2 linked regions of the Arabidopsis thaliana genome follow. The protein of the gene in region 1 interacts with the protein of each later gene in a pairwise test. Each region holds a gene or a part of one and is shown on either strand. Other genes may lie near its edges. The genes, in order: AT1G68300 and AT1G11800.

Evidence for each region.
Region 2: the proteins of AT1G68300 (region 1) and AT1G11800 interact in a two-hybrid assay, tested with the Arabidopsis thaliana proteins (one large-scale study listed by BioGRID).

What each region holds. Positions count from the first base shown.
Region 1 is NC_003070.9:25,597,513-25,601,161, forward strand, and holds AT1G68300 (Adenine nucleotide alpha hydrolases-like superfamily protein), read right to left. Parts: upstream 1,839-3,649; 5' UTR 1,750-1,838; coding exon 1,557-1,749; intron 1,456-1,556; coding exon 1,364-1,455; intron 1,288-1,363; coding exon 1,169-1,287; intron 1,085-1,168; coding exon 1,006-1,084; 3' UTR 819-1,005; downstream 1-818. Other genes in the region: ENDO2 (endonuclease 2), read left to right, coding at 10-93, 166-258, 342-406, 508-581, 658-752; AE7 (MIP18 family protein (DUF59)), read left to right, coding at 2,300-2,441, 2,872-2,965, 3,050-3,149, 3,476-3,521, 3,630-3,649.
Region 2 is NC_003070.9:3,984,653-3,989,143, forward strand, and holds AT1G11800 (endonuclease/exonuclease/phosphatase family protein), read right to left. Parts: upstream 2,639-4,491; 5' UTR 2,612-2,638; coding exon 2,131-2,611; intron 1,900-2,130; coding exon 1,751-1,899; intron 1,658-1,750; coding exon 1,547-1,657; intron 1,453-1,546; coding exon 868-1,452; 3' UTR 532-867; downstream 1-531. Other genes in the region: ADT1 (arogenate dehydratase 1), read left to right, coding at 1-10, 90-171, 254-310.

The sequences.
Region 1 (3,649 bases):
AAAATACAGCCTCTACATGTGAGTTATGCTTCAGACAAAGGAGGTAACACCATCGAAGTACATTGGTACACGAGAAAAGCTAACCTCCACCATGTAAGAACTGCGAAACGCATCTATTATTTCAGCATCAGATAGTACAAAGTTTTAAACTTTAGATTCATACAGATATGGGATTCCAACATTATCGAAACAGCTGAAGCAGATCTCTATAACTCTGCACTAGAAGGAATGGTGGATGCACTCAAAAAGAATATCACGGTACTAATGCAACAAAACTACTGTTCTCTACATGTATGCTACAAGGTGTTTCTGACTTGCTGACATGTATTAATAAAATGCAGACAGAATGGGCAGATCAAGTTAAGAGATGGGAGACCTGCACAAAGAAGACAGCATGTCCAGACATGTAAGTATGATAATAGTACCTTTGAATAGAAGTGGTTCTTCTTCATGCCAGCAAGAAGCAGATTTAACTTCCAATTGCTTTCCCCCTGTAAACTTTTTTAGATACGCATCCGAAGGAATTCAAGCAGCCTGTGACTGGGCATACAAGGGGGTAACGGAAGGAGACACTCTAGAAGGTAAAGAATCCACCCAAAAAACTATGATGATTGACAAAAGAAAGAAGCTAACAAACACATAATGTCTTCTACGCAGATGAATACTTCTATTCACGTCTACCGATAGTGTATCAGCGGTTAGCACAGGGAGGGGTGAGACTAGCAGCTACCCTAAACAGGATTTTCGGTTGAAGCTGAAGTTACAGCATAATGATTGGTCTAAGCCTGTCTTCATATTAGATTAAAAACTGCATTATTGAAACAAGGAAATAGCAATCACAAGCCCCGAACACGGCAATGCTCTTTCATTATCAAACAAAATAAATTATGTTTACTCACAAAGTTTCTTCAAACAATAGTAACCAAGCAGAGCATTATTATCAATATGTTTACAACACACACACATCAAGCCAGGGTTCTCGAACTCTTTCATGAGAAGAGGTCTTCAAGCTTTTGTTCTCACCACAAGAACTGGGCACTTAGCATTGTTAACACAGTAATTGCTAACACTTCCAAGGAAAGTCCTGTCCATACACACACACACACATAGAACATAAGACACATTATCATCTCCAAAACCATCAAAGTTTAATCTACGCAGTACACACCTTTGTAATGCTCCTTTACCATGGCTTCCAACCACAAGCATATCAACACCAAGCTTCTCAGCAGCTTCACATATCGCTTCTTTAGGATTTCCAAATTCCAACACCTTTCTTGGAGTAACCTAATACACAACAACCAAACCAATTAGTTCCAAAACACACACGAATCTGACTAATTTCATATAAGTGAAGTCAAACCCCAGTCTCAGCACAAATTTTGGTTCCTTCATCAAGACGATTCAATCCAGCGTTCTTATGACTCTCTTGCAATGAGTTTATAAGCTCAATCGCTACAACACATAAGACCAAAATTTTCAAACTCAATTTCAAAAAAATCCAACCATTATCAACAAAATGAAATCGCCGGAATCCGATGAAGAAGATTACTTACGAGCGGCGCCATAAGAGGAAGCATAGACGCAGCTGAGATCAAGATGAGGTTGAGCAGTGAAGAGGATGATGTCGGAATCGGCGAGGCTATCTTTGAGATACACGAGCGTCCATTGAAGAGCGCGTTTACTACATTCGCTTTCATCAATCGCCACCATCACTTGCTTCATCACGCTTTTCTCTTCTTCCGCCATGGTTTTCTTCTTCTCTGTGATCGCTCCGATGACTTGGTGATTTGATTTCTCTTCTTTGAGAAAAGTCAGAATGATGACGTGTCGATTGTGTAGAGGAAGGCACGAGGTTCTTCTGGAGATTTTGAATTATTCGATGGGCCTGATCCAATTTCGGGTTTCTTGTATCAGGTCCAGAGAAAGCCTATAACCTCGTTGTTCTTATTGGCTCATCGGATTCCAAATTGGCGGCGAGGTTACACAGACCTACTCCTCAAATCCTTAACGTACTCGTAAGCCCATATCCGATTTTTCTTTTCCTGTAAATTTAAATTTTCTTACAAATTTCTCAAAATCGCAAAATCTTTGCCTCTTTCTTCTCTAATCGAACTAAATCTTAAAACTTTGCTGATTGATTGATTTTCGATTCCGGTATGTATCTTTCTTTAGTTTTCAATTCGCTGCTTGCTTCTTCCCTGGGAATTTTAGGGTTTTTAGGGTTTTGTAATTTCCGATTGAAAAGTTTCGTGCTTTACGAGTCTCTGTAACTCAATTTTTGGCAGGGAGAAGAAAAATGGTATCTGGGTTGATTAATGAGAACCCTATCATTTACCCAAAGAAAGAGAGGCGTCTTCGTACTGATACAAGCATTACTGATGAGCTTACACCAGAACCAATTGATCAACTTGAGATTTTTGATATCCTTTCTTCATCAAGTTTTCTTAGAACTACTCTAATTGCAAACCTTAATTGGTGAATTGGTTTGATTGTGTGTGATTGTGAGGATGTGATTATCGTCTTACAGCTATTAGCATCTGAAATTAAGAGTAGCTAGTGTATGCATAGGTTTTGGAACAACTTGACATGCCTCTTAGCTTGAAGTTTGCTTCTTTACACTATTAGAAGTCATGAATCTTTTGTTCTCATATGCATATCTTTTCGAAGTAGGTGTTGGAACCATTTGACATGCTTCTTAGCTTAAAGCCTACCTATGAATCTTTTGTTCTCGAATGCTAAATTTCTTGTAATTATGCGTGGTATCGGTTTGGTAATCTGTGAACAAATGGAATCTATGTTTTAGTTGATACAGAATGATATTGGATTATTTCTGTTGTTTTCTTTAACAATACACAAATCATATAAGAGATATCAAAGATCCAGAGCATCCTAATACTCTGGAAGATCTCAGAGTAGTTACAGAAGACTCAGTTGAAGTGGATGATGAGAACAGTTATGTTAGGTAAAATGTTGGGATTGAACGTTTTGTTATGGATTTTTAGTGTTCCTTTGAGCCAATCTGTTGAGCTCTACCATTTCTTTTCAGGGTTACGTTCACTCCAACTGTCGAACATTGTAGCATGGCAACCGTTATCGGTCTTTGTGTCCGTGTGAAACTTCTACGAAGCCTTCCTTCTCGATACAAGGTACAAAGCTTTCTTGTTATTTCATTTCTAAGATTTTCCGGTTCCCTTTTCCTGTAAGTTTGTCAAGATGATCTTCTGAGCCCATTTTCTGATTTATACATTATCGAGAGTGGTTTGAACGTAACTGAGATCCAACACATGTTCTCCTTGTGATGATATATGAGGCAGAGAAATTTTTTAATTTTTCATTCTTAATCAACTGTTCTTGATACTTGCGAAGAGAAGATAGCCCTAGCCTCTACTATATATAGTTAGGACTGCCTTAAAACACACTCGCACAATGTTTTATGTGCCTCAGTCCTCTGAAACGAATCTTCATTTTTCAGATTGATATAAGGGTAGCACCTGGTTCTCATGCAACAGAAGATGCATGTATGTCATTTTTCAATATCTATCCATCTTTTTTGGTATGCATGTTTTGCTTTACATCGAGTGTACTTCTTTAACATGATGTCTGGTTTCTTGGTGTTTAAAATGCAGTGAATAAACAACTAAACGAT
Region 2 (4,491 bases), about 22 Mb from region 1:
GAAGCGCTAAGTAAGTAGATTTCTAACACACAACATGCAGACATCTTTTTTGACAAAGTAGTTGAGTGATTGTTTTGTGATGATGACAGGTACTTTGATTACTTATTCTACATTGATTTTGAAGCCTCCATGGCTGATACACGTGCTCAGCACGCTCTTGGCCATCTACAGGTCTCAATCTTGTAACCCCAGAGCTTTTATAGCTGGTCTTAAGGCTCACCAATTCTAAAGATCTTACCTTCTGGTTTTGCAGGAATTCGCAAGTTTCATCCGTATCCTCGGGTGTTATCCAATGGATCTAGTCAGATAACCGAGCAACTCTTCAATTGATTTCATGTTACCATACCGTGAAGAACATGTGAATATACCCAAACAGAAGAACAGGGTTTGTGGCTTTGGTATACTTCAAGAATCTTCTTTCACCATTTTCTCATTTTAGAACTTTAGCTTCAAACTCTTCATTGTTGAGACAGATACAATTGATGTAGCATTTTGTTAAGAATATGTTCTGTACATTAAACAAGTTTTTTCAGTTAATATCAATGAATAAGGTTGTTTGATGCAAAACCCTCTGATACCAAAATCTCTCTGGTTTTTAACGATCATATTAATATGTGATTAGTTTCAGAATCTTCATTACAAAAGGTGGGGGCATTGTTGAACAATAAGACTGATCTTTCAGTTCGAATCAGGAAATAAGGCCGTTCCCAAACCAAAAAACAAAAAAAACTTAAACCAAGAACTGTTTATCATCAGTTCGAAACAGAGAAACCCTACGCACCAAATTTGGTGTTTCATACAGTTTTTTAACCTAGTCACAAAAGCTTCACTAAGGAAGACTAACTTCGAGCTCTGAATAGTTTGATCTCATTTTGGCGAAAGGGTTACAAGCAGACCGAAATGATCACTAGGCAACACCGGAAGCTCTAACTTCTTAATGTCACCCCTCACTTTCTTCTCTTTTACATATGATAAACCAGGAATGGCCTCTTTCCCAACCATCTCGATTCCACCAAGCTTGTAATCATCCAGACGACACAAAATCCGGTCTAACCGTTTCTGCAATGCCCGGTTACCGGACAACATTGGGTTTGCTTTTGTGTCATATGTAAAACCCAAATCACCTGGTTTCAAAACCTCCCAAACATCCACCCATTTGTCTGGCAAAGGAAACTTCCCATCTAGCTTGTCGCACCAGTTCATGTCTCCCCCGAATATCACATTGGCATTAGGTCTGAGAATCTCAATTGCCTCCTTGGCTTGTTCAACGCGTTCTCGACTGAACATTTGGTCCCATTTTGGAGGACCTGGACAGGGACTCTCAAGATGGCTAGTTGCAAAAACAAGTGGCTTTCTCCCTGGAACTTCAACTTCTGCGATAGATAGTTCTCTTCCCATTATCGAGTTCCCAAAGCTTTTGCTGCTGAAAGATTTCACTCCCAACTTGCTCAACTGCAAATTACACATAAGGGTCAGTTACAAGAACCACAGGGAATTATTCAGATACAGACGGCAAGAGCCTAAGCCAAGCAAGCACAATCTTTACCAGCATGCAGTAGTAGCCTCTCGAAACTGCCACATCAACTGAGACAGAACAAGAATACGCTTTCCACCAATTCGACTTGCGGAAAATATCATATATCTCAGGAGTGACTTCCTACAAACCACACAAAAACCACTTGTCAAGAAAGCTGAGCTATTTCTAAATGTTGCAGATAGAAATCATTCTATAGCAAAATGTAAAAGTGACCTGAAAACATATGAGATGAGGAGAATGAAGCTGAATAAGATGACCAATCGCTCTCATCCTTAGATTCAACTCAAGGTCTTCACGAAACCAAACATTGTAGCTCAAGATCTTCAAGCAAGTTAAAGGTGTTCCTGAATCAGAAGCTACCCCTACAAAAACCAAACAATGACAAAAAAAGTAAAGACTTCTGCATTGAGGAACAATGGAAATCAAACTCACACAATTTAGCAGTAATCAAAAACCAATAACAAGCTTTAGATGAAACAGGAATCATACAGTAATAAGTCTCGTCTTTCAAACTGATATCTAAGGTATGAGCCACAATGAGTATACCAAAATTCACAAAGACCTAAAACCCTAGGGAGTAGAAAAAAACCGACCTTTCGTTTCAATCTCTTTGTTCTTCTTCATGACACCTTGCGATTCAGAGCAAACAACAGAAGCACCATCGACCTCGACGACGTCATCATCCATAGCTTTACGCTTGATACACCGCCGCAGAGGAAAGAAAACAGACCCGACGGAGGAATCAGCGTCGTTACTCTCGAGACCCGAATCAGTCAAATCCTGAAATCCCAAGAGAGAAGACGTTGGCGATCGTGTTCCACAGACGTCACAGATTGAGTTCTTGTACGTGTTCAAAAAAGTACAGGCCTTGCAAGCCCATTTAGCTTCATCGTTCGCGGAAATTGAGAGAGAAGGTGGAGGAGGAGACAAAGAAGGGAGAGATACAGGAGCCAAGCAGATCATGCAATTGAGTTTCTGAGACGCAGAATTGAGGAAAGTACATTTGTTGCAGGACCAAGACGACGACATTGCTCGACTTGTGACAATTCTCAGAAATCGGATTGTTGTTGACATTTACCCTAATTAGTTTTTATCGATTTTGATTTTTTGACGCTTCGGTTTTCATTTAACGGCTACGTGTTATTATTATACGACATCGTTTTGGACAAAGAAGATGGTTTACAATTTCAATGTTTAAATTTGAAAGGTGAACCGTAATCAAACCGAAACTAACCGAAGTATACCCATATACCAGAAGACAGAATTAGCTGTTGGGGAATACAACAAAAACAAAAACATACTATTTAGGAGACAAATTTTATACAAAATTTTATTGTCAAGAGACTAAAATCTATACTAGCATTTTCGAAGTACATCTCTTGGCAATAAAATTTAGATGACTAGTTTTAGTCTATTGTCTTTCTTTTTCTAAGATCGATCCTAAATGTATTGACATGAACATGATCATGTCTATTGCAAAAACCTGTCATTCTATCTTCAAACTTTAAGAAGAAGAGGGGGAAAAACTCCTACGTTTAAAATGAGTAAGTCTATTTTTCAACTCGGAAGAACAAAATGTTGGATTTGCAGTGATGTAGGTATCTTCAGGACAAGGAATCGCTAAGCCACCCATTGGATGATCAAACCTTGACTCGCTCTCGAAATTACTAATGAAAGCTTGAAACCAAGGTTGGTTCAAGTATGAGATTGGAACCTAATATATCTTCTTCTGGCTCTCTTTGACGTACACCGCAAGCAATCTTTGAGACTGATATTTTTGTTCTTAGATCTTTTTCTTGTTTGAAGTTTTAATTTCTTTTGTTAGCTAATTTTGAAGATGTATATAGTAGGAAAAGTTCAAGTTTTTGGATTGGTCCTTTTTTGTTTGCTTTATAAGGAGTTGTTAGTTCTGTGAATTATTTACAGATCAATGAATGAGTTAAGATCTCTAATACTTATGGTCTACAGTCAGACTAACACAAAGACCAGCAAGTTCTGTTCTTCATTAAGTTGTAATTAGTTCTTAATGTTGTAAATACCAGAACAATAAGTATCTATCATTTGGTCAAGTTGTTCTTTGATCACAAATGACGGTTCTTAGCAAAGAATATACAAGTGTCGTCTCTCACTTCATCATTTAAGGAGACGAACAAATAATGACGACTTTGTCCGATCTTTCAGTAGATTTGGTGGGAGAGATATTCTCTAGAGTTCCATTGATATCTCTGAGTGAAGTGCAATGTACTTGTACAACGTGGAACACTTTATCCTGGAACGTTTTGTCGGAAAATTATGTTTTTGGTAATTAAAGCAGATACAAGTAAGCAATTTCTAGGTTTCGTAGTAATGTATTCTAAGGTTTGTTCCCTGAGACTTGATCTCCAAGGAATCCACAACAACGATTTCGTTGATCCATCTTTAAAGGAAATATATATAGTTGATCAATACGATATATCTAATATATTTCACTGTGACGGCTTGATTGTTATGCGTCATACACAAAAGGAGAAGGAGGCTCATGGTGTGGAACCCTTATTAAGGGGAATTCAGGTGGATCCAACCAAGAAGCAAATACCATAAGTTCCACAGATTAGACATGTATGCTTTCGGTTACGACAAACAACAACAACAACAACAACAACAACGGTGTGTCTTTGAAGGGAAATACTTATTATTATGCTCCACAAAAAGAAGTCAGATAGCCATGCAGTTTCAAATCGTATTGTTTTTTTACTCTGTTTTGATTTTACATCAGAAAGGTTTGGACCGCGTCTTCCTCTTCCGTTTCACTCTAGTGATGAAGAGACTGTGACTCTATATATCTTGTATCAGAGAAGAGCAGCTCGCTATGTTATATCAACCCTACGACTTATGTTTGGACTTGGTCATGGAGATAACGACTAAAATTGAGTCCAATGCAGTATCATGCATGGACCAAGTTCTTCACAATGGAA